2 linked regions of the Macaca fascicularis genome follow. The protein of the gene in region 1 purifies or fractionates together with the protein of each later gene. This does not show direct contact. Links are inferred from orthologs where the notes say so. Each region holds a gene or a part of one and is shown in the gene's direction. Other genes may lie near its edges.

Region 1 (3,648 bases):
CACTTGCTCCTGGGAGATTGAGGCTGCAGTGAGTCGTGATTATGCCACTGCACTCCAGCCTGGGCAACAGAGTGAGACCCTGTTTCAAAAAAATTTAAAAAGCAGAGCCTGAGCAGAGTGGCTTATGCCTGTAATCCCAGCACTTTGGGATGGCAAGGCAGGCAGATCACATGAGCCCAGGAGTTCGAGACCAGCCTGGGCAACCTGGCAAGACCTTGTCTCTACAAGAAATTTTAAAATTAGCTGGATGTGGTGGCGTGTGCCTGTAGTCCCAGCTACTTGGGAGGCTGAGGCAGGAGAATCGCTTGAACCTAGGAGGTGGAGGTTGCAGTGAGATGAGATTGTGCCACTGCACTCCAGCCTGGGTGAACGAGACTCCGTCTCAAAAATAAAAAGCACAAAAAATGCGGTGCCCAGGCCGAGCGCAGTGGTTCATGCCTGTAATCCCAGCACTTTGGGAGGCCGAGGTAAGCAGATCACGAGGTCAGGAGCTCGAGACCAGCCAGGCCAACATAGTGAAACCCTGTCTATACTAAAAATACAAAAATTAGCTGAGTGTGGTGATGCACGCCTGTAGTCCCAGCTACTCAGGAGGGTGAGATGGGGGAATTGCTTGAACCCAGGAGGTTGCAGTGAGCCAAGACCACACCATTGCACTCCAGCCTGGGTAACAGAGTGAGACTCCCTCTCAAAAAAAAAAATGGGGTGCCCGCTGTGTGGTACGCATCTGTGTTGCAGCTAAGTTGGTCAGCCTGGCCAGGATGGGGGCTAGCCCCTGGGCTGAAACCTGGGCACCTTCCCACCCCACCTGCCTCATGCCCCTGCAATTTGGGTGCACCGTCTGCCCACAAGGGGACCGGGCAGGCACAGAGGTTGGAGGATATGCTGTGGCTGGTCCACCTGTCTCAGGGGGAAGCATGTCCTTCACTGGTGACACCTGGGCCAGAGGAAGAGAGGGCAGGGCCACGGGACTTGCTCTGGGCTCTAAGACTGAGGCCCTGGGCCCAGCTCAGGCTGCAGAGCTCATGGGACTGGGGCCAAGCTGTGACGTACACAGGGCCAGGCTCCTTCCTGTCCTTGGTCACAGGGCCACCCCCTGAACCCTCGGGACTACTGTGGCTGGACGCCTCTGCACGAGGCCTGCAACTACGGGCATCTAGGTGAGCAAGGGACAGGAGCCTGGCGCACCTCGGTGGACACGTGGGGCAAAGAGTCAGTCCTTGGGGGGCATCAGGAGCTGGGCTCACATCTCCTGGTCTGTAGAAATTGTCCGCTTCCTGCTGGATCACGGGGCCGCAGTGGACGACCCGGGTGGCCAGGGCTGCGAAGGCATCACCCCCCTGCATGATGCCCTCAACTGTGGCCACTTTGAGGTGGCTGAGCTGCTGCTTGAACGGGGGGCGTCCGTCACCCTCCGCACTCGAAAGGTGAGCCTGGTGGGGCAGAGGGCAAAGGTGAGGGTATGGGGGCTGCTGTGCTCCTGTTCAACTGATACCACACAGGGCCTCAGCCCGCTGGAGACGCTGCAGCAGTGGGTGAAGCTGTACCGCAGGGACCTGGACCTGGAGACACGGCAGAAGGCCAGGGCCATGGAAATGCTGCTCCAGGCAGCCGCCTCAGGCCAAGGCAAGCAGGGCCTCCCGCGTCCCTAGGGTTGCTATGCCTACCCTGAGAGTCCCCGGGCCCTGATTTCGGGAGATGCTCATTCACAGGTGGAATGGGAGGTGCCGGGCCCCTGCCTCAACACGGATTCTCTCTTCCACAGATCCCCACAGCTCCCAGGACTCCCTCACCATCCCAAGTAGCCTTCTGTTTGACCCTGAGACCTCTCCTCCTCTGAGCCCCTGCCCAAAACCCCCCTCTAATAGCACTAGACCCCCAGAGGCCTCTCAGGCCCGTGCCAGGGTCTCCCCAGGGCAGGCAGCACCAGCCGTGGCCAGGCCTCGGAGGAGCAGGCATGGGCCAGCCAGCAGCAGCAGTTCGGAAGGTGAGGACAGCACAGGCCCCCCGCGGCTGTCCCAGAAGAGGCCTCGGTGCTTGGCCACAGCACAACAGGTGGCAGCCCGGACGCCTGGCCCTGCCAGCAACAGGGAAGCAGCCGCAGCCAGCAACAGCCGGGCAGCCTACCAGGCAGCCATCCGGGGTGTGGGCAGTGCTCAGAGCCGGCTGGGGCCTCACCCACCGCGGGGCCAGAGCAAAGCCCTTGCCCCCCAGGCAGCGCTCATCCCGGAGGAGGAGTGCCTGGCTGGAGACTGGCTGGAGCTGGACACGCCCCTGACCCGCAGCCGCCGGCCCCGCCCCCAGGGCACTGGGGACAGCCGCAGGCCTAGTAGTACCTCCGGGTCGGACAGTGAGGAGAGCAGGCCCCGTGCCCGAGCCAAGCAGGTCCGCCTGACCTGCGTGCAGAGTTGCAGTGCACCGGTCAAGGCAGGGCCCAGCAGCCTGTCTTCAGAACCCCCAGGAAGCCCCAGCACCGCCAGGGTCTCAGAGCCCAGTGGGGACAGCTCTGCGGCAGGCCAGCCCTTGGTGGGTGTGCAGAGCTGGAGCAGAGCCCTCTCCTCACTTGGGGCAGGCAGGTGTGGGGTGGAGCCCACTGTGGCTCCTGACTCAGCCCTGCTGCCTTCACCTGCCAGGGTCTGGCCATGCCACCTCCCATCCGGGTTCGAGTTCAAGTTCAGGATCATCTTTTCCTTATCCCTGTCCCACACAGGTGAGACGTCGCCTGCCCTACCCTGCAGCCCACCTGTGCAGCTCCATGCCAGGGTGCTCATGTTTGCACATCAGGGTGGGGAGGGTGACGAGGACTCCCTGGTGTGTTCCTGGAGGACCCTGTGGCTCCCAGGAATGGCAGAGGGGCTGGTGGTGTGCTGGGCTGCAGGGAGAGGAGGGGCCGGCTACCTGGGAGTGGGAGAAGCGGCTGAGGGGGCTTTTGGCCCTGGGCAGGGATGGCGGGTTCCTGGGGCTTCACCCCAGCTGTGCGCAGGCAGCAGCAGCAGCGCCTCTGTCCCTGCAGCAGTGAGACCCACTCTGTGGCCTGGCTGGCCGAGCAGGCGGCCCAGCGCTACTACCAGACCTGTGGGCTGCTGCCCAGGCTCACCCTACGGAAAGAAGGGGCCCTGCTGGCCCCACAGGACCCCATCCCCGATGTGCTGCAGAGCAATGATGAGGTGAGCCGCGGGAGCCAGGGCCTTAGGCACCGGGAGCCCCCAGGTGACTCATGACGGTGCCTTCCAGGTGTTGGCTGAGGTAACTTCGTGGGACCTGCCTCCGTTGACCGACCGCTACCGCAGGGCCTGCCAGAGCCTGGGGCAAGGTGAGAGCCAGGAGAGCTGCAGTTTCTGGGTGAGGCCGTGCAAGGGGATTGGGCACACAGGCTCCACCAGCCCAGTTCGTTCCTGGACCTCGGGTGTTTCGGGGTACACCTCCCCCAGCCTGGTGGGTGCTGTGTCCTGCGCTTGGAAGTATGGATGGCAGGGAGAGGACAGCCCTCAGCCCCCATGAGCTGCTGATGGGGAGATGGTAAAAAGCAGCCAAAAGCCTGGAAAGTCAAGCCCAAGGAGGAGAGCCTCACGTGGGCTGGGAGCTGCTGGAGAAGCTTCCCAGAAAGCTTGTCCCAGGGGGCGTGGAATCTGGCGCTGACTGGTGGAG
Region 2 (3,319 bases), on another chromosome or scaffold:
AGCTTGCAGTGAGCCAAGATCATGCCACTGCACTCCAGACTGGGAGAGAGAGAGCAAGACTCCGTAACAAAAAAAAAAAAAAAAAAAAAAAAAAGGCTGGGGGCGGTGGCTCATGCCTGTAATCCCAACACTTTGGGAGTCCAAGATGGGTGGATCACTTGAGGTCAGGAGTTCAAGACCAGCCTGACCAATATGGCGAAACCCCAACTCTACTGAAACTACAAAAATTAGCCAGGCGTGGTGGTAGGCGCCTGTAATCTCAACTTCTCAGGAGGCTGAGGCAGCAGAATCGCTTGAACCTGTGAGGTGGAGGTTGCAGTGAGCTGAGATCCCACCATTGCACTTCAGCCTGGGCAACAGAGCAAAACTCCATGTAAAAAAAAAAGTCAGCCGGGTGTGGTGGTGTGCGTCTGTAGTCCCAGCTACCTGGGACACTGAGGCAGAATTGCTTGAACCCGAGAGGCAGAGGTTGAAAAAAAGAAAACTGAGGGCAGAGAGCATACTTTTTGCTCAGTAAATACATGTTGCTTGGGAATTTGTTTCTACTAATGACATAGAGGCATGGCTGTGGCACTGCTAAGGCCTAGGATGTGTCTCCCCTAGGCTGATGCCCCCAACCCATCCCTCATCCCAGAGACTGATGCCGTGGGTGTGACCGTAGTCCTCATCACCTGTACCTACCACGGACAGGAGTTCATCCGAGTGGGCTACTATGTCAACAACGAGTACCTCAACCCCGAGCTGCGTGAGAACCCACCCATGAAGCCAGATTTCTCCCAGGTGGGTCCTGTTTCCACTTCCTGCTTCCCACAAGGCCATTCTTTATACTTGGGGGGGAGTTCAGCCATTCAAATTGGGAGTCAAGGTTACTTCTTAAGGTTTTCAAGTAATGTTCAGTTCTTACAGTACTGAGTTAGAATAGGAGAAAAAGGCCTTTGTTTCTCAAAGGCATGTCTTAGAGAATTAAGATTAGATAGGCCTGCCTGGGCAACATAACGAGACCCTGTCCCTACCCCCTCCCCACCTCAGAAAATGAGTGAGACATGGGTGGAGTACTCTACTCTGGATGCTGAGGTGGGAGGATCACTTGAGCCCAGGAGTTTGAAGCTGCAGTGAGCTCAGATCATGCCATTGCATTCTGGCCTGGCTAACAGAGACTGTCCCTTAAAAAAAAAAGATAGGTCCTGGGCCAGGTGCAGTGGCTCACACTTTGTAATCCCAGCACTTTAGGAGACCGAGGCTGTCGGATCACCTGAAGTCAGGAGTTCGAGACCAGCCTGGCCAACATGAAAGCCCGTCTCTACTAAAAATAAGAAAATGAGCCAGGCATGGTGCCATGCACCTGTAGTTCCAGCTACATAGGAAGCTGAGGCAGGAGAATCGCTTGAACCCGGAAGGTGGAGGTTGCAGTGAGACGAGATCACACCATTGCACTCCAGCCTGGGCAAAAAAAGCGAAACTCCGTCTCAAAAAAACAAAAAGATAGGTCCTAGCCCTAAATCATGGTGCACAGGTGTTTTCTGGAGTTCCATATGTGGGTTGCTCTTGCTGGGCTTCAGATGGGTGATTGGGGGTGTCCTGGCTCTATGGGAGCAAGGAGAGGGCATGTCAACAAGGGTTGACGTTCCTCTTTCTGCCCCAGCTCCAGCGGAACATCTTGGCCTCGAACCCCCGGGTGACCCGCTTCCACATCAACTGGGACAACAACACAGACAGGCTGGAGGCCATAGAGACCCAGGACCCCTCCCTGGGCTGCAGCCTCCCACTCAACTGCACTCCTATCAAGGGCCTGGGCCTCCCTGGCTGCATCCCTGGCCTCCTCCCTGAGAACTCCATGGACTGCATCTAACTGCAGGAACCCAGTGTCCCAGCACACCAGGAGGGGCAACCAGGCCTCCCAGCAAGTCCTGCAGGGCCCATCTAGAGGACTTTGGGGGCCATCAGCTGCATCCAGGTCTGTCAAACTCAGCCCCTAGGAAAGAACAGGCCTCGGGACTCCTCTAGTCCTGGCCAGAAGGATGATCTCGCTTTTCTTGTACAGGCCTATAAGAAGCAGGTACTTCAGTTCTAAATTCTTTCTGACTTGTGTTCTTTTCGTCTTCATAAATTCTACCTAAGGCCATTGTGCCACTGTGCACCCCTGAGTACCACTGACCCAAAGCTTTCCGACAGACCTCCCTGGCCTGCCTAGAGGCTTTCTTGGTCAGTGCCCGTCAAGGCTCTGGTCCTGCTGAGCCAAAGGTTCTGTCATTCCTTTCTCTTCCCGTTCACTGAGCAGATCCACTCCAGCTTTCTGGTGTCACAGGCAGGAATCTTGGTTAGTAGGTAGACTTAGATCCCATTTCTGTCCTGCTCCCAGGAAGATTCTTAGGTCCTCTTCAATCCAGCAGCCCCTGGAAAACTCTGCTCCCAGAGGTGTGATCAGCAGGATGCTGAGGAACCATGTTGCCTTTCCTGTCAATCATAGCCACCTTCCTGTTATCTCCTAAATGGATCTGGCTTTTTCTAGTTGGAAGATGGTGTCAGAGGGCCTGCCTGCGCAGTCTGTCTCTGGGTCGGGGTCAGGGACCCTCTGCTTCTGGCAGCCTTAATCTTCTCTCTGCTAGGACCAGGGTGATTTCAAGCCAGGGAAGCAACTGGGACCCTGAAAACCATCCCTCCCCAGCCTGCTCTCCCTCTCTGTGCCCTGGTCCCCTTGCTGCCATGTGGATGCTGTTGTGATTGCTGTTTGTATATTATTAAAATGTTTTTATATTAAAAATGTTTGGTTGGTCTGAAAATTAAAAGCACTTGGTTTAGAATGATTGTTTGTGCTTTTGTCTTGTGTGGACTGAAGCAACTTTGTCCACTCTCCCCCAGAAGTGGTCTCATGACCTGTCCAGTGGGTGGGCTGTCCCATGTCTTCTTCCCAGCTTCCTACTCCAGTCTTAATTGGTTCTACAGTATTCCAGACTGAGGTTCCAGAAGAGGTTTTTGTCAAAATTTAAGCAAACCAGCTGTCCTGCAGATAGATTATAATCAGTGATTTTTCAGACTGCCCTTGACCCACAGGAAGAAATTAACATCGTGATCCCAACACACAAACAGCAATGCTTTTATTAAATTTTACTAAACCTTAACCATGTAACCATCCAGAGGCCGAGTGGTCAGCCATTTTCGCGTAATTCACAGAAAGGCTCTGACTCTCCCTCCCTGGAACCATGGTTGATCTGGGAACATGGGTGCAGACAGCGGCTGGAGAGGGCGTAGGCTGTTCAAGTCTAAGCAGCAGATCGGCTTGCAGTTGAGCCCAGCTAGCCCTTCCGTGTCAGGGTGACCT

What was found.
Region 2: the proteins of TONSL (region 1) and ASF1B purify together in Homo sapiens (affinity purification with mass spectrometry; 5 studies listed by BioGRID and IntAct, counting the BioPlex papers as one, with this or other methods). This does not show direct contact. The link is inferred for Macaca fascicularis from reciprocal best matches to the Homo sapiens genes TONSL and ASF1B.

What each region holds. Positions count from the first base shown.
Region 1 is NC_088382.1:154,145,095-154,148,742, reverse strand, and holds part of TONSL (tonsoku-like protein), read left to right. Parts: intron 1-1,087; coding exon 1,088-1,160; intron 1,161-1,263; coding exon 1,264-1,427; intron 1,428-1,502; coding exon 1,503-1,626; intron 1,627-1,765; coding exon 1,766-2,526; intron 2,527-2,633; coding exon 2,634-2,710; intron 2,711-3,013; coding exon 3,014-3,167; intron 3,168-3,234; coding exon 3,235-3,313; intron 3,314-3,648. UniProt on the Homo sapiens protein: Component of the MMS22L-TONSL complex, a complex that promotes homologous recombination-mediated repair of double-strand breaks (DSBs) at stalled or collapsed replication forks.
Region 2 is NC_088393.1:14,540,000-14,543,318, reverse strand, and holds the end of ASF1B (histone chaperone ASF1B), read left to right. Parts: intron 1-603; coding exon 604-780; intron 781-1,642; coding exon 1,643-1,849; 3' UTR 1,850-2,801; downstream 2,802-3,319. UniProt on the Homo sapiens protein: Histone chaperone that facilitates histone deposition and histone exchange and removal during nucleosome assembly and disassembly. Cooperates with chromatin assembly factor 1 (CAF-1) to promote replication-dependent chromatin assembly.